2 linked regions of the Caenorhabditis elegans genome follow. The protein of the gene in region 1 interacts with the protein of each later gene in a pairwise test. Each region holds a gene or a part of one and is shown in the gene's direction. Other genes may lie near its edges.

Region 1 (9,245 bases):
GGATTCCGAGGAGAAGAACGAAGATACGCCATGGTGGATGCTCTGCTTGCACTTCCTGGAAGTCATTCGCTCTACATGATGGCTTGTCGTATGGAAAAGCTTCGCGAAAAAACTTTCCAATTACTTTCTGGTATTTTTGCAGGTTCTTCTTTATCGAAAGAATTATGAATGCCGATAAATTTGTGGAAACCACGATCTCAGACTTTATGAGACTCAATTCTTCAAGAGACTTTGAGTATTTCGTCTCCATTGCTAAACAGCTCTATTCCAGAGGATGCCGTGATTATTACACTGAGGTAATCATAAAAATTTTATCCTCTTGAGAAATAATTCGATTTTCAGGCATTTCTTACGCATCTCAAAACGATCTTCCCAATAACCGAAGAAAATGCAGAAAAGTGGTTGAAGTACGGCGAGATGCTGGGTACTGTCGGTGAGAAGGATTTTCGAACGGACATTTTTGAGCAAATGATGAAGGATTTCGTTGACTCAAACAAACTCAGTCAGATTGCTGCCAAATTCCACGGATTTGTTGAGTCAGTGGATGATTGGAATCTTCTTGCCGAATGTCTTTTCTCCCGTGTGAGAGCTCTTGAGCATAAGATTGTAAGTTTTTCAGGAATCTATGTTGGGTTCTTGAAATGCAACTTCTTTCAGAATCTCACTGCCTCTGCTCCAATGGCTACTGACCCGAGTGAGAGTTCCTGCTAAATAATTTAAATTATTTTTCTTTGAGATCTCTTCTTGTTTTTATAAAATAGCCGCATTTTATGTAATTGATTTAAGTATTTTTGCAATAAACAATTTGTATTCATTTATTCCGTTTATTCAATTTCAATAAAGTTTTACTGATTGGGGATTAAATTGAATTTTGAAGTATTAACAGAAAACTAGAATAATATTTGCAAGGAATGTCAAATTGCAACTCAATGTCCAAATCCGAATCCAGTTCCACGTCCCATATGAGTTGTTTCTCTAGCAATTGCATATTGTTTCTCGAGATCGTTTAGCATTTTATCTTGGCGATTCTTTTCATCTGACAATCTCGACGAATCATCCTATAAATGTTAAATAATTCAATTTATATGGTAAAATAAGATATTTCTCACCGTTGGTTTCGGTGCATTCTTGACGCCCATCAAACGCATGAATTTGTTGGCTTTTGATGAATCGACCCCAGTTGCTGCGATGGCTGATGACCATAATTTTTCGTTTTTTCCTCCAGTTGCAGGTTCAGAAGATGACGAGGCGGTGTCAGTGGTGTTCTGAAAAAAAAAAGGTTTTAATGTGCAGAAAATAACGCAGTTGTACCGAGGAAGATGATTCTCCAGCCACTTTTTTGTTTCCCCAGAGAGCTTTTCGTTGAGCAGCAATCTCTTCAGCAGAGAGACGATTTCTGTAATTTCAATTTTTAATTTAAAACAGATTTACATCAACCATATTTACTTGTCATCTCTTCTTTGAAAGTCGTTTCTCCGATCATTCCGATCGTTTCGATCCGTTTTCCAGCTACCGTCGCCTCTTCTATCATCTCGCCGATCATTTCTTCCGTAATCACGTCTTCTCTCTTGATCGCGATCGTCGTGACGTCTCGATTCATTCTGAAAAAGAGGTTTAGAAGAATTTAAAGCTAAAATTTAGCTTTAAAAACTAGATATGCCACTAGATGAATTTGGGTGAAAACCTGAAAATTTAAATTTTTCTCGAGTTTCTCCAGTACTTTTCTCACCTTTCTACCAATGTGGTGTGCACCTTGTTTCAGACTCCGGATCACATCGGCAAACAAAACTAAATTCGTTAAGATATTAGTTTCAGTTTGCAACGATTTCAAGTCATTTATTGTTTTAATTTCAGTTTACACTTTCTAATTTGAACAAACTATTTTTTGAAACGATTTAAATTATCTAGTGAGTCTTATTGTTTCATTATATACCTTTTCTGGATGACGGTCTCGTTTAGGAGATCTCTCGCGTTCCTTGTGTGGAGAACGACTTCTGTCTCGTTTTTCCTTCTTCTTCTCCTTTTTCTCGTCTTTTTGGCGTTTTGCTACACTGCTGGAAAATGATTTTTTCGTTAACTTCGAAAGAAACAACGTACGTCTCAGTCTCTCCTTCGTCGTCACTGCTGCCGAATTTCGTATGTTTTCCCATTCTGAAAATCAATAATTTAGTGTTTTAAGGAAAACCACATCGTTACGGAGAACTGAGGGACGGGCAGGCTACAAAGACATGAAATATTTAATTTTTTTCAGTTTACTTTTTAGAATTTTATATAATACTTCTATAAGAGAAGGAATCTCCAGATCAGAAGCTGTAAAAAAAAGTTCTCTCAAATGTGTCGTGAGATTGTGTGTTTTGTCCGTAAGTGGTGTTTGCGTACATTTGTCAACCGTACCCTGGTCACATTTTTTTTCGATTCAACAAAACGTTTTTCCAATCTTTTTTACCTCGTTTCATTCATAAAAAATTCAATAATAAATGCAGATGCTTCGTCTCTACGCAAGTAATTGTGCCGGTAAGATAAAAGCAGCTGTCGAAACGGCTTCACGGTTACAATCGACAGCATCAGGAGCCGCTGGACATAAATTTCAGAGTTCGTTTATTTTGTTCATTTGCTAACATGTAATAACTTTTAATAATTCAGCGAAAGAAGATAAAAAAGAGGGAACAACGTATATTTCAATGGAAAAGGTGACGGACTCGCGTGGAGCACGAAAAGATGACGAGTTGTGCTCGCTGTGCACATGCAACGTGCCAATTAAGCTCACTTATAAGTAAGTTGTTTGAAAAATTACTTGTTTTTTCTTTCCGCAATTTGAAAAATGTTATTTTAATCGTTTCAGAGATGTTCTGATCTTGGAACAATTCATGAGAGACGATGGAACTGTTCTTCCACGTCAACTCACCGGGCTTTGTAAGAAACAACAATTGAGAATGGAAAGGTAATTAAAAGAAACTAACTGTTGCTTACATGCAAATAATTATTTGAAGATGTGTAATGCAAGCATTCTGGTCTGGACTTTTCGGTGATAAATATGGCACAGAAGCGGATAGAGCAGGTTATAAACGATTCAATCGATACTGGAAAGATGATATGTCAATGTATCAATTGGAGACGAAACAACGACATGGAACATGGTTTTATATTAAAAGGTTTTGCACTGAAAAATTTAATATTCAAATTATTTTTTGGTTTTCAGATATCCTACGAAGAATCAACAACTCTTCAAGAATCCACTCAATTGAAATTGTTAGATTTTATTTAGATATTATCCTTTTTTAGCTCAATATTATTCTGTTGTTTTGTTTGTTTCTAAAGAATTTTTCCGATCCTCGAACTTTCCATCGTTGTTTCGAAATGTTTTAAAACATTTTCAATATCTCTTATCTGTTGTTATTTCCGCTTTATTGCAATTCATTTTTCCAGGAACATCGCAGATGTCTTGATACAAAGAAAAGAAGAAATGCGAAAATTTGTATTTTTCGTCGTAGCTATTCTTATTCAAATTCACACGACAACATCACAAAGAAATAGAAGTTCATCGCCATCTGGATTTTTGGATCTTCAACTTGAAAAATGTCCTCAAGTTCTCGGATGTCGTTGTGTTCGGGATTCTACAAGAAATATTCAGTGCTTTTCTATTGGTAAGAAATTAATTTTTTAAACAAATGTTTGATGTTACTTTTCAAAAGGTACTTTATTAGAAAGGGTCAAGCTGAAACGCTCCAAAATTTTTTTTTAAAGTTTAGGATAGAACCTATTTTCAGCTAGAATTTTAAATTTTCCCCAGTTCATCAGTGTATAAAAGATTAAAATAAAACTTTTCTAAAAGTGGATAAGGAAAAACACAAAAAACGTGTTCGAGAAAATCGAAAAACTGACATCCTCGGCCCCCTATTCAAATAAAAACTATTTCATTATTTACAGACGAATCAAAACTTCTTGAAATTCAAAAAATCTACGGATCAAATATTCAACGTTTGGAACTTCACAATTGGCAACATGATCAGCTTAATTTCGATATTTTCGCACCATTTCCGCAACTAGAACATATAATTCTCCGAGGTAAATCGAGAATTGCTTCTTTAAAAGTATCAAAATTTTGATTTTCAGATGGTGATTTGGAATCTCTGAATGGAACTGTAATCCATCCAACTCTCAAAGTGCTTTCTATCGAAAATTCAGAGCTGACATCGAGCTCAGAAGTTTGTCGCCTTTTGAGCATTTTCCCGAAGATTCAAAGTCTATCCCTATCGAAGAATTATTTTGAGAAATTTGAATGCGACACGAGTAATACCAAATTAAAAATTCTAGATTTGAGTCAGAATAGAGTATGTCAATTATGCAATAAAAAACAATTCAAAGAAATAATTCTAGATTTCCCACCTGGAAGTGCCAAATACCCTCAGAGTTTTGAATGTTTCACGCAATAGACTGACTTCTTTTGAAAATATTTCGACGAAGCTGACAGATTTAGGTTTGTTCGAGAAAAAAGAATAATCGCAGTTAACAATTATTTTTACAGATATTTCCTTCAATAAACTATCCTTATGGCCATCTTTCGACGATTGGAAGTTCCCGAATCTTCGTAGTTTGTCGGCAATCAAATTGGATTTGCAAACGGGATTTCAATTAGATGCTCCACTTTTAAATTCTCTTAATATTGACGGCGCATCACTAAGATACTTGAATTTTCATCAAATCCTTACGCCGAAACTCAAAAAGTTTGTGATTTTTCATTATTTGGATATTATTAATTTTTCCAAAAATTCAGGTTCTCTGCTCGATATCTAACGGAGCTTCGAAATATTGCCGGTCGTTTACCTTCTACAGTAACGGATGTGGCTTTCACTGATACAATGCTGAGAACTCTTCCAGCTGATTTTATTCCAATGTAAGACATATTTTTCGAAATTTCATAATATATTCGGGATTTTTAGGTCATCTACCAACCATATGCAAAAGGTTTCATTCGATTTCTCTACGAATCAGCTTCTTTGTGATAAATGTTTATTGCAATGGTCTCTACCAGTTTATGCACAGACAAGTATTCGAAAAGATTGCAATTTGACACGGTAAATTATCATCTGGTCGCGAAAATTTTCGGTTTTGCCGGCGAAAATACAGGTCTCGAAAAGAAAAGAGTACTGTACTTTCAAACTTTTGTTCCTGCAGAATTTTCATCGATTTTTCATAATTCTTCGCGATAATATTTATTTAAATACATGAATTTTAACAAATAATGTGAAAAACTACTGAAAAATCTATAAAACATCTATAAAAAACAAAATTTTGGCTGTACAATAATCTTTAAAGGCGCACACATTTTAGCATTAACATAAAACATTGTCGTGCCGAGGCCGGTTATTCTGGCGCAAAATATGGTGTTTGGGTAATTTTTTTTAAATCAAAATGTTTCAATTTTCAGAGAAGAAATTGAATCGGCATCTTGTAAGATTGGTGTTGTTGCTAATGATACTGGAATTCAATATGGAAAATATGAGAAACCAACAGCAATTTCTTGTTTCTCCTACGGAGTTCCATCTCCAAAAATCAGTTGGTGGAGATTTAGACCAGCAGAGAAGCTTGGATCCTATGATCCAATCACAGATGAAATCAGTTATACAAATGTTTCGGAAACGATGAAAGAAAGGTATTTTATATCAAAAATAGACTTAAATAACAGATAATTACATTTTCAGCTATGAAATTCAATCTGGCGGGTCTCTTCTAATTCGATCACCCAACCGATCACATGTTGAACGATATGTTTGTGTCGTGGAAAATGAATATGGAAAAGATTATGGAATTTATCATTTTAGGTACTTCAAATAATTAGTAAAAGAAGGAGAAATTATATCTTCAACCAAACTTTTTAAAATTTCTCAAAATACATATGATTACGGCGGTCTAAAATTTCTCCCCTAAAATATCCAGAAATGAAATAAAAACTAATCGAGACGGAAATTTAACAATTTTGGAGACTTTCAACTTTTTCTAAAATTGTCATTATTAGTCTTAAAAAAATCGGTTTTCCACCTACCATAAATTTCAATAATCGAAGGTAATAACTAAAGTTTTTAGACTCGATTATCTCGATTGGTACAGCTATGATGTGTTCAATTCAGTATTTTGGGGAGGTCTCGCCACTTCATTAATCGTTTGTCTCATATCATTCTTGCTCAATATTACATGGATTCTCACCCGAAAAAGTGCTCTTTGGTGGATTCAAAGGTACCAGATTAATTAAATTAATAAATTAATTAAATCTATGATTTTTCTAGAGCCGAACGCCTGTCACGTGTCCGAAAAATGGTTGAAGCAATGGAAAAATATCGTGTTCGTCAAATGGAGTCACTTCATGAAAAATACACGAAACGCGTTCAAATTGTTCGTGATAATTATCATCAACAAGTTGAAGCACTTCGTGTATCGTATGCATCACAACAAGAGAAATTTCAAAATTATAAAGCAGCTCAAGTGGATGCTGTACATTCACATTTGGATGCAATGAGAGATGGATATAATAATCAATTGGGTAGAGTCAGAGAATATGGATCAAAACGTGCAGAACAATTATGGGAGAGCTATGAGCGACAGGTAAAATGGGGTTTTTTTTTCAAAAAGAAAATTTATGCAAATTTCTAAATGAAAAATGTGCAGAAAAGGTTTTTGAAATCTCTGAAAAATTGGCAAAAAATTTCAAAATTTAAAAATAATTTCCAATAAAAATCGAAAATGTCCTATGTGTAAAAATCTTAATCAAAAAGAAAAATTAAAGAACGAGAATCTAAAAATCGATTTAAAAAAAAAATTACAATCAAATTCGAATTTTGTTTATCATAATAAGATGAGTTTTAAATAGTTTGGTTATTCTCTTCAAAAGTTGAAAATAATATGACCAAACTTTGGAAAAAAAGAAAAAATACATTTTTATAAATTTTTTCCAGGTGAATCGCATGCGAACCTTCAGTCTACAACATCGTCTAAAAATGATGCGCCAGTACAAAGTGAAGCAACGTTATGTTAATAAATTACTCGAATCACTGCAAGCAACATCACCAGAAGTTCAATTGGAGAATGTTAGTTTCTGGAAAACTAGATTAATTGATTTTTTTGAAATTTCAGGAAGAAAAAGTACGTGCTGCTCTAGAGATTCCTGATGATTTGGCAACTATTGATGGTTCAATGGACACTCCTTCTCGCCTCTCGCGTAGTTCATCATTCCATAGTCTTCCTGAATATGTTATTGATGAACAAGGAAACGTACGACCGGGAATTATTCCAACAAATGCGCCTTCCATTAGGTTAATGTCTCACTGTCAGTGATGAAAAACATTTCTCATCTATACTTTCAGATTCACTACCAAACCAACAACATCTTCAATATCAAACGAGGCAAGTACCTCTTCTCCGAGCTCATCAGGAGCTCATCGATCGCCAGATTCTCCACCAGAAAAGAGATAATTCTTTAAATCATTTTGTTTGTTTGTCTATAACCATTCCAAAATCGGTGCCATCATCATCCGACCTATCATTTCTTTTTGCAATTAGTCCTAAAACACTTACTTACCATCTTCAGGAATAATGTTCTCAACTAGAGCTTTGTTTTTTTCTTTTCGAGAGTGTCTTTAATATATCTTTCCAATTCAATTGTTTCATGCCAGGAAATCCATGCAAACTTCTCCCCCAATTCCCACTTTTTGTTCCAAATTTCATGTGTTCATTTATTTATTTTCATTTAATTCAAGTTTTACTGTACGCATATTCAGAGATTAAATTTTTGATTGTATTCTTTTTTCTGGCGACGATTTCTGCATCAAACATACTCGATTGTGGCATGAATGAAATTCCGGACAAGTGAGGTCATCGACACATTTGAAGACATGCTCATTCTGATAGAAACAATGTCGATTCACACATTTATGATTGCTATCACAGTTCCGATCGGTCAAGCATTGTCCACGTGTGGATGCTGATGATATCAGCGGAACGAGGAGAAGAAGCTGAAAACTTCAAAATAATAAGAAATTTGTTATCATACCTCTCACTCACCAAAAATAGAATTTTGAGGAATTGAGTCATAGAATTGAAAAGTGCCAGATAATCAATATCACCTGACGAGAGCTCTTATCAGTTGATCGACACTTTAGAAAAAAAGAAAAAAATATATTACAACAATAGAGACATTTTTCCGAATGAGAGATTCTCTCGGTGAGAAATTTGATGAATTTAAAAATTGTGTTAGCTCAATTTTAAAATCTCCCCAAAAATTTAAGAATCAAATTTGCTACTTGATCTTGAAGCGAACGAAATAATCCAGCTACAGTACTCAAGAGTACGATATTTCGCAATTCGGCCTCTGAAGACTACTGTAGCCACACGTTTTTTCATGAACTTATGAGTTCTTATTGTTTTTATATCAGTTTTTCGATGAATCATCATATTTTTATGACAAAATATGAAAAAAATGTTATCTATAAAAATTCCAACGTACAAAAGTTTGGGATTACAGTAGTCTTTGAGGCGCACAAAATTTTGCACTTAAGAAAAATTGTCGTTTCGAGGCCGGTGCCGTATTTTCGGCATAAAAATCGCTAAATTTTTGCGTCTGGGTGATATAGAAAAGAAAAAGCAATTTCCGCGGGTACTGTAAGTGAAACTTTTTATTCGTTTCAGGACGTCAGGTCTCTACTTTAATTAACTGAAACTTTGAAATTTGAAGTACACCTTGGCGTCTTACGGTAACCTTATTAGTTGAAACATAATTGTTGAAAGATTTATTATGCACAAGAATTATGAAAAAAAAAGAAGAAACAAGAAAATAATTCACCATCGAAATGGGATACACATATTGATAATACACTGATTTCCAGAAGGACAATCCAATTGACTGTCACACCTTCGGAATAAATACGGGAATAGCTGGAAACGTTTCGCATTTAAACATTTTCCATCGTAACAAGCGGTTTCCGATGAGCAGTCCGTGTCAATAGAGCATCTTTGGATTAATGGAAGATATGGAATATTATCCGGAGTAGTTGGGATTTCATCGAATTCTTTGGATTTTTGTAGAACTGCTTCTAGTGGTAGCTTATCATCAATTTCTTCTTTTGGAGACTCTTCGGATGATGGAATGTGAATTTCCGATTCAGTTTCATTATGTGATTCTTCAGAGGAAGTTATGTTGACTTCAGTTTCAGCAAGAGAAAATGTGAAGAACACTACGAGAAGTAACTGCAATT
Region 2 (9,141 bases), 3.0 Mb from region 1:
TCTGATGGATCATAATAATTATTTTTGCAGCTGGAATGGTTTCGTTCACTGGTAAACTTGCGTTCAGCTCCAAGAATTCGTTTCACCGACTCTCCGGATCTTGAAGATGAGCCTACTCTGGTCCTTCTAGACACTGGAATTGCCATTTCCGAAACACCGAAAAATTTGCACAATTTGAAATCGCTTTTCAGAAGTGTTGTGGAGAAACGGGGATACGATGTCGGGAAGCTTCTTCTTCATCAATCCCCCTTCCAACAGTGCAATGATCCGGAAAGGTTTTGCCGACAAGTGGAAAAGCTTGTGTTGAAGGCCAGAAGCGAAAAGAGCTTGAGAACTGTGCGTTTTAAACGAAAATGTTTCAAATTTTAATTTATAAATTGGAATTTTAATTTAAAAAAATCGTAAAATCTTGAAAAAATGTATAAAATTTTGGAATTATTTCTGAAAATTGTCAAAGAAAAATTCAATTTCAAAAATTGACATCGGAAAGAGTTTTAGTTTAGTTTTTTGTTTTAAAAATACAAAAAAAAATTGAAAACTAACAAATTCGAACAGTTTGAAATTTTAGAAAACTAAATTTAAATCAAAACTATGTATTTCCGATTTTGTTTCAAAAATCAGTAACTCAAGAAATTATAGGTTTTTTAGTTTCGAAATATATTGAAATTGAAATTTTTCAAATAAAGTTCCCTCATCAATATAAACTTTTTCAGCTCAATATCTCGGCACTTCTCTCAGAAATGTTCACAATTGTGGCGGAGCACAAAGTGGAGCTCGACTCGGCTTTCACTACAGTAATCCTGTCTGTAATGGTTCTCGAAGGATTCGGCCGATCTCTGGATCCGGATCTTGATCTCTTCCAATGCGCTAGACCGTTTTTATTAAATGTTCTCGTATAGTGGACTTTTTTGCGAAAATCGTCCTTTTCAATTGTACAGTTTCAGAGTAGCTTTAAGATTTTATAGTTTTAGTATTTAGAGATCTTCTTTTTGTTTCATTGGGTTTTACGCATTTTTCAACTGTTGCTAATAAAAATGTTCAACAATATTTTCTGCTTTTCAACTTTTTAAATTTTTTTTCGGAATGCTGGTCTCACTGTCCAGTTCTATTACTTCTTTTTCTTAGCCAGTTTGATTTTTTTTCCAATTTTTTTTACTTAGATGCCTGCTGTGTGGTGCTCCTTGCATGATGTGTTGTGGTGTAATTTTGGTACGTTTTTAATGAAGAAAATGGCTATATTAAAGGCGCAGACACTTCTCTCAAAACTAAATCGGTGTCTACGTTTTGAATCTTTTTATTATTATCTTATTTGAGAATTGCTCGAATTTCAGTAAAATATCCAAATGTGTGCCTACCAAGTTCCACCACTGCGACCTGAAGGAGGTCCACGTGGCAAGGAGCCGCAGTCGTGGCTCGAGGATTATTTGGAAGGAAAGGACGAGATTCTGCTATACATAACTGCCGCTTTGGGAGTTCTGATGCCGGGATTTGTCTATCTGCTCTATCGCAAGTGCCATGCATATTATGAACGTTATTCAAAGGTTGGTAATAGTGGAAAACAAAATCAACAAAAATCTGGTCTCGCCACGACTTCCAATTTCTTTCAGAAAAAAGAAGAAGAACGACTTGCCGAGGAACTTGCCGAATCAGAAGCCGTCGTAATAGTTCTAGGAAAAGAAGACGGGCTCGCAGCTCCGTGGGCCAAGGTGATTCACGACAAGCTTTGTGATGAAATGGTCCGAAAACCGATGATTTGGTGGTCAGACTCTTTGGATGTGAAGGAGTTAATGGCCTTCAAGGGATTTTGTATTTTTATCTCTGAAACTACGGCTGGTGGTCAGCCGACACCCTCGACAGAATGGTTTTTGGAATGGCTTGAGGATCTCGCAGCGGACTCGAAGCTTAGAAAGAAGGCGAATTTCGAGAAAATCAGATTTTCAATTGTTGGCTTCGGAAGCAGTGATGATGGGCCAGCTGGGTTCAATAAAGTCGCCAGAACTTTGCTGAAACGAATGAAAATCTTGGGAGCTAGGCAAATTACTGAAGTCGAACTTTTCAATACAACTGACACTGGTATCATACCGTAATAATGATTATTGTTAAAATGTTGAGTTTCAGATAAGCAAACTATGGAGCGATTTGTGGAATTTTCGTTCGAACTCCTTTTGCAAATGGATAAGCATCTTCCTGGAATGAGTGGTGAAGACACCGAAGAATCGGAAGTTGGAGACGATAGATCTGAGAGCTCTTCGGATGATAATGAAGTCGAAGAGAAACATAAGAAGTCGAAATAAAATTTGAATATAAATATTTATATTTTAATAATTGTTTATATATCGAGCTTTAATTGAATTTTCCTGCATTTTAAAGATATTTTGTATATTTGTATTATTTTTTCAACATTTTTCATAAATAAATTCGCTTTTTTTAAAGAATATTGGTGACTGCCAAAATAATAAGAAAACATTAATTTTTGAGAAAGTAAATATTGATCCAAATTACCGTAGTGTAGTTTTAAAGGCGCATGTCATTTCCAGGACGGGTCTCGGCACGGGCTCTAAAGTTTAGCTGTTTCCGTTGCTTCTTGTAAATAATTGGAGTTTTTTTTTGCATATTTCGAAGCATTAAAAAATTAGAATGAGTTTGATCAGTGCTGAAAACTAGAAATCTACGAAAACCTTTTTGTAAAAGAACTCAAAAAAAAGTTTAGAAGCAAAATACCGTAACGAGTTGTTAAAGGCACATACCACTTCCACTTTGGGTCTCATCACGAATATCAATTGTGTCTTTTTCGTTTATCTTTTGTTAATTTTTAGCGAAGTTTTGTGGTTTTTCAGGTGTTTTCTTCATTTAAAACATTAAAATCCTCAATTTTCGATAACTTAAATTGAAAACTATTTAAAAATTATATGAAAAATTGCCTTCGAATCTTTTTTTCATGGAAAATTCGCGTAACTTCCCAAATTTTTTTCCGCCGATTTTTCCGCCATTTCTTCGAACACGTCTTGGAGCTTTACATCGGGAAACACAAAAAATCTGTTTTAACTTGAAAGCTCGTTGAAAATACTCAACAAATTTTTCAGAAACTCATATTTTAAACAAGGAAGTCATAATTTCACTACATTGGATCCAATTCATGCAGGAGTACTTTGACCTCTTCTGAGTCTCCGGTCAGCAAATGCGCTTCCCCGCACCAACACACATTCCAGCAGCACGAGTCGCCCTCTTGTCTCATAAGCTTTCTTGAGAAAACGGAGAAAACTTTGCGCTTTTGGTTTGTATGTGTGAGCAAAAGCTTTTTAATCAATATCCGCTTTATTCTCTCACAGTTCCGATTTTATTTGATTTTTTTCTGGAATTTCTTATATTCTCGGTTGAAAAAAATTTTAAAAACTAAAATTCAGCTTTAACAAAATGGAGGAAGATGACGTGGAATCGGCAACACCGGCGGAATCGCAAAAACTTTTGCAAAAAAGCGTTCGAAATTCGTTTGACGAGGTAATCTATTTCACGTGATCTATTCTATGAAAAAAGAAAAAAAACACAGTTTTTAGTTTTAATTTATTACATTTCAGAGAGATATGGTGATGGTGTTGGACAATGATGAATTAATTATGGAAAATCGGAATAGCAGTAATCTACAAAGCCCATTGCGGAGTGTTACTGTACGTTTTTTGTTGGGTTGAAAGAGATTAGCATATGATTATTGATTTTTGTTGTCGGTGAGTGGTGGCTGGAGCTAGAAGTTTTAAGAAATTCTCACTGTTTGGAGATGTTTTTTTGAAGAAAAAGTGTTTTCAAAGAAATGGTAATTTTCCACTATTTCAGATCTTCTATTTTCAAAAAAAAATTGAAATTTTTTCTCGGTATTTAAAGCTGTAGCTGTATAAAAATTTTAAAGTTTCTGAAGTTTAGGTTTTTTCAGATATACAAAAAAAAATTAACGGCATTATTTTTGAATTTCCTGCAAACCAATAAAAACAAATAGTGAGAATTTTTCTGAAACCTTTTCCTATTTTTTTAGTGGTCAGTTACCGCTAATTCTTATTTAATATTAAAAAAGCTAGAATATCATTCTTCAAGCTCCAGCCAGCCACTTCGTGTTTTCATATTTATCACTGCTTGCCCTCATATGACAAATGTTATTTTTACGGTGATCAGAAATCAAATTTTGAAAAATTGAAAAGTGCATTGCAGGATGTGCTCCGAGAGGCAGAAAATATTATCACTGACGGACCGCTGCAGTTGGCTGATACACAAGAGAATCAGAATGTGATTGTTGATCAAGTCGATGTTCAATTGTAAATAATCATCAGATTTTTTTTTCTTCCAAAAAAACATTGTTTCAGTCCGAATAGTCAGCCATCAGATGGTCAACGATTTGAGATTATTGTTCGTCATAGTAAGGTTGTTGAACAGCCTGCAAGTCAGCAAAGAGACGAATCAATGTATGTGACAAGGCAGAATAGGCTTCCAACTTTGCTTGAAGGTAAGGTTATTGAAAAAAATGATTTTTTTTTAAAGTGCGAAAAATACTTTAATATTTCGCATAACATGCTTTTTGTATTTGAACCGATTTTTGATATTCATTTCATAGTTCATTCCCACAAATTCTTCTTGAGAAGTATTAAAATTCGTCCATAAAAATGGAATTTTTGAAGAAATGTTTCTAATTAAAAAATTCACACATTTACATTATTTATGATGTTCCAAATAAAAATCTAAACCAATTTTTTCAAAAATTATCGATTTATCCAATTTAATTCCCATAAAGGTTAGAGTTCAAGAAAAAAAGGCTTTTAAATGTAAAAAAATCGATTTTTAAAAATGTTCAATAAAAACAAAACAAAATATTTCTTTTGAGCTTTTGATATTAAAGCAAAACCAAACAAAAAATAAGAGTTTTGCGCAATTTATGAGAACATTTTCAAAAAAAAATTTTTTTTTACTATTTGTTTACAGTGTAACGAAATAAACCAAAAATCGCATCATTTACACCGATCTCTCGTTTAATAAATTAGTGAATTAAAAGTTAAATTTCCAACCAAAAAAAAACTTGTTGACCGTCACCTCAAATTAATTTTAGGTGACAGGAAGTGTTCTCATTCGTTTTTTTCAAAAATACTTCCCTCCTTTCACTAAACTACACTATTACTAAATGATTTCTATAGGAATCGAAATTGACAATGGAGATGTCCCATCAACGTCTAAAGCAGCCGCATTACCATTCAAAAAAGGACATCGTCGAGCATGGAGTATGCCGAATGCAAAAGGAGAAAAGATGACAGTTGCAGTTATTCATGATAATCATGAAGAAGGTGGAAATCAGCATCGTCGACGAATTGTCAAATACAAATTACATCCACAACGTCGGGGACACGAAGATGGAAAACATTTGAGATTTGTTACTGCTGGACATGATGCGGAGATTCATTTGGATCATAGTGATGATGATGATGAGCTTGAAGTTGAGATTAATGAAGAAGAAGTTATTATTCCTAGCGAAACTGGAGAAGGACCAAGAGCTGTTATCAAGAGGGTGAGGGAAAACTCCAGTGAGATAATTGCAAAATTGCAACAAAAAAAAGCAAAAAATGCAGCGATAAATGTTAATTGGCGGCAATTTTGCTTTAAACAAATTATGTAGAGAAAAACATTTCTAATAAGTTTTGAAAATTCACGAATCTCCGAAAATGTTTGATTTGGTTTTTCTTTCTATTAAAAGTTTTCTGATTACATTCAAAATTTTCTTTGTACTAGGAGCCAAAAAATTTTGCACACATGTGAGCTATTGATAAGAAAATTTTCAAAAATATACATTTTTGATAAGTTTCTACATATTTTTTGCAAGACAATTACTTGAAATTATGAGAAATCTTAAAGAATAATTTTTTGGTTAAAAAAAACGATTAAAGTTAAAAAAAAAATATTACAAAATTATTTTCAGTTCTGGGAAGCCCGCTGGAAGGCAACAAATTTCGAAACTCTACCCGAATGGCTTCAAGATAACGAATACCTCCGTACAGGACATCGTCCTCCACTTCCATCGTTCAGTAGCTGCTTCAAGAGTATTTTTGCATTGCACACTGAAACAGGAAACATTTGGACTCATATGTATGGATGTGTTGCGTTCTTCGGTATCGGAATATGGTTTCTGACTCGTCCCCATGATCAAATGCAATGGGTGGAGAAATTGATCTACTCGGCGTTTTTCCTCGGTGCAGTGATATGTCTTGGAATGTCATTCCTTTTTCATACGGTTGCATGCCATTCTATTGAAATGGCTAAACTGTTCAGTAAACTCGATTACACTGGGATTTCCTTACTCATCGTTGGATCATTTGTTCCGTGGATCTATTTTGCATTCTACTGTAGACCTCAACCAATGATAATATACAACGGAATGATTATTATACTTGGAATCGCTGCAATGGTCGTCTCGCTTTGGGATAAATTCGCGGAGCCCAAATTCCGGCCTGTACGAGCAGCAGTTTTCATAGCAATGGGCCTATCGGCTGTGGTCCCAGCATTTCATTTACTTGTAGTTGACGGTGTTCATTATATGGTTGAGGAGTCACAAGTTCATTTGATGATTATGATGGGAGCCATGTATATTGGTGGTGCAACACTCTATGCGACACGTGTACCTGAGAGATGTTTCCCTGGAAAGTGCGATATTTGGGTATGTGGTTTCAAAAAAACTAGCAATTGGAGAAAAATATAAAAATATATATTTTCAATTCTCGGTTTTCCGGAAAACCAGACAACATAACTTTAAAGATTTTAAACCACATTTTGCAAAAGAAAATTTACGAAAATACGAAAAAGACTCAAAAAATAAAAGCTAAACAATCTTTTTTACTCAAAAAAAAACTAATAACGTTTATTTTTTCAGTTCCAATCGCATCAACTCTTTCACACATTTGTCGTGCTCGCCGCTTTTGTTCATTATCACGCGATCTCCCAAATGGGAATGCATAAGCTCATGAAAGGATCCTGCCCGGATCAACTGAAAACTCGTTACGGTAACGAGTTGAATCCTTCCTTCGTTGGCACTTTGCTTGGGCTCGACGAGCCACTCAATGTCAGAGACTGGACACCGGCGGATGTTGGTTTATGAGGTAGATTTGTTTCCAATTTTTTATTTTTAAAAAATTTATAATTTTCAGAAACCTCTGCACAATATGTATAGTTGCGTATATATGCTCTTCTTGAAGCTGCTACAACCCTCTTCATACTATCCTTTTTCTGCTCATTTTCACCATTTTTTTTTCCATTTTCTTTCAAATTACCTGGTTCCCCTTCCCCACGCTCCTCAACTATCTGTCGAAACATTCTCAGCTAAAATTCCAATGTGATAAATTCTATACACTCCTTTTTTCATTTTATTCCCCCTTTTCGTTCCGTTTTCTTCCATTGAAATTAGTTTTCTTATTATTCTTTTCTTGTTTTCGCGTTCTCCTTCATTTTCTCGGAACCAGATTTGGTTTTTTTAAACTTTAACATTGAACTTTTCGAGCTTTGTTTTTTTTTTCTTTTTCGTATTTTATGAATTTCATTTTACTGTGTAGCCCATTATTCTATTTTCGTGTGAGTGTAGTCGTCTAGGCGATTTAAAATAAAATTTTCGATTTTTTTTTGTGATTTTTCGAACAATTCATGAAGTCGGCATAATTACCAAGCGCTAGTGTCTGTAAAATAGCGGAAATTTAAGAGTTTTAGCGAAACATTCACGAAATCACATATCTTGCAATTTCTCATCAGTTTTCTACAGAAAAAACTCGTAGTTCCACACCATGCAGGTGAAAATCTAGCAAAATCACCCTTTTTCTTCATTTTACTTGAAATTTGATCAGATTTTTGGTTTTTCAATGTTCTCAGGCGATCAGGAAGTGCTGAAATCTGAAATTGGTTTGAAGTCGATAATTTAAGGAATTTTATTAAACAATCTCGAGTACAGTAACTTGAAAGGCGCATCTACGAAAATAGGGATTAAATATTGTATCTCTGCGAGACCCACGCATACTATAGTAGAATGTCCCTTTAAATGGAGTACGGTACCAAAAGTAGACAAATTTTCAGATTTGTTTGTTTATTTTAGAATTTTTTGTTTTCAGCCCCAAAAAATTATTCCAGTGCCAGAGTTGTGTGTCACGCAGAGTCTCCGTTCTCTTCGTACACTTGTATGCATGTCTGCACCCTCTGCGGCTAGTTTGTTCTCTCACATTGTTCACTTGTTGCTCCTCAGTTTTTTATTCTATTTTTCTTTCTTTTTTCTTTCGGGTCGCCGCATTCTAACAATTTCTTGTCTCTGCTCTGATAAAAACAACAAAATTTTCGATTTATTAGCTCCAACTTTCCTCCCATTCTCCTGAAAATTTCCTGAATCAAAATGAAAAATAATATTTTGTTATTATCAAAATATATAAACTGTCATGTGAAACGTGGGTTATTTTTTATTTTGTTTTTTATTTAAGCTCCTCCCATTTTTTAATAAACTAATAAATGAAAATTTCAACGAAAGGTCAGGAATGGGAGGAGCTTAAATAAAAAACAAAATAAAAAATAAGCCACGTTTCACATGCCAGTTTATATATTTTGATAATATTTTTCTTCCTTCAAAAGGATTAAGCATTAATCATTAGAATCTTTTCGCGATTTTCCGGATTTTGCTTCAAAATAACCGACAAAAATCTTTCACAATTTCTAAAGAACTTGGAAATTGGGGAAAACCGTCAGTTTTGGAAGGCCTTTGTGAATTTTGAATATTGAATAAAATAACTGTTTCAGCATTTTATTTTAAGAAAACACTTAAAAAACAAAATGTTTAATTGTTTCCTTCAGCGGTCAAGTTTTCTCTAAATTGCCCAGTAATATTCAGAAAAATTCTCGATGTTTTGTTCAAAATTACCATGGCACTAAAAATAGTCTGTCCAATTTATTTTGTGTGTTATTTCGTCTTCTGACCGAATGGCGCAGATCTCTATTTCCGGAATCAGCTGCCTCAATTTTCGGCACCCCACAGTTATACATTATTTTGTTCAAATGATACATTTTGCGATTTATGATGCATTTTTTAATCGCAAAAAAGCAAAATAAAAGTGTGCGCCTTTAAAAGTAATTTGTCCTCCTCGCTGTTTT

What was found.
Region 2: the proteins of iglr-2 (region 1) and paqr-2 interact in a protein complementation assay, tested with the Caenorhabditis elegans proteins (one study listed by BioGRID).

The regions. Positions count from the first base shown.
Region 1 is NC_003281.10:8,325,129-8,334,373, reverse strand, and holds iglr-2 (Immunoglobulin domain and leucine-rich repeat-containing protein 2), read left to right. Parts: upstream 1-3,426; 5' UTR 3,427-3,463; coding exon 3,464-3,644; intron 3,645-3,927; coding exon 3,928-4,065; intron 4,066-4,113; coding exon 4,114-4,331; intron 4,332-4,377; coding exon 4,378-4,477; intron 4,478-4,525; coding exon 4,526-4,724; intron 4,725-4,774; coding exon 4,775-4,894; intron 4,895-4,940; coding exon 4,941-5,075; intron 5,076-5,428; coding exon 5,429-5,653; intron 5,654-5,702; coding exon 5,703-5,822; intron 5,823-6,084; coding exon 6,085-6,234; intron 6,235-6,284; coding exon 6,285-6,600; intron 6,601-6,950; coding exon 6,951-7,082; intron 7,083-7,128; coding exon 7,129-7,307; intron 7,308-7,358; coding exon 7,359-7,467; 3' UTR 7,468-7,775; downstream 7,776-9,245. Other genes in the region: ZC262.4 (uncharacterized protein), read left to right, coding at 165-296, 343-606, 658-711; ZC262.2 (small acidic/RSRC2 family protein), read right to left, coding at 927-1,058, 1,110-1,265, 1,312-1,396, 1,447-1,601, 1,934-2,054, 2,098-2,150; mrps-18A (28S ribosomal protein S18a, mitochondrial), read left to right, coding at 2,478-2,592, 2,644-2,773, 2,843-2,941, 2,991-3,152, 3,200-3,245; ZC262.13 (FIP (Fungus-Induced Protein) Related), read right to left, coding at 7,776-8,006, 8,056-8,085; F10E9.12 (DUF7107 domain-containing protein), read right to left, coding at 8,830-9,237.
Region 2 is NC_003281.10:5,374,193-5,383,333, reverse strand, and holds paqr-2 (Adiponectin receptor protein), read left to right. Parts: upstream 1-3,404; 5' UTR 3,405-3,414; coding exon 3,415-3,498; intron 3,499-3,575; coding exon 3,576-3,665; intron 3,666-4,197; coding exon 4,198-4,301; intron 4,302-4,349; coding exon 4,350-4,489; intron 4,490-5,171; coding exon 5,172-5,539; intron 5,540-5,947; coding exon 5,948-6,682; intron 6,683-6,895; coding exon 6,896-7,120; 3' UTR 7,121-7,121; intron 7,122-7,169; 3' UTR 7,170-7,635; downstream 7,636-9,141. Other genes in the region: Y32H12A.7 (ABC1 atypical kinase-like domain-containing protein), read left to right, coding at 31-336, 714-899; Y32H12A.6 (Flavodoxin-like domain-containing protein), read left to right, coding at 1,344-1,541, 1,608-2,073, 2,119-2,294.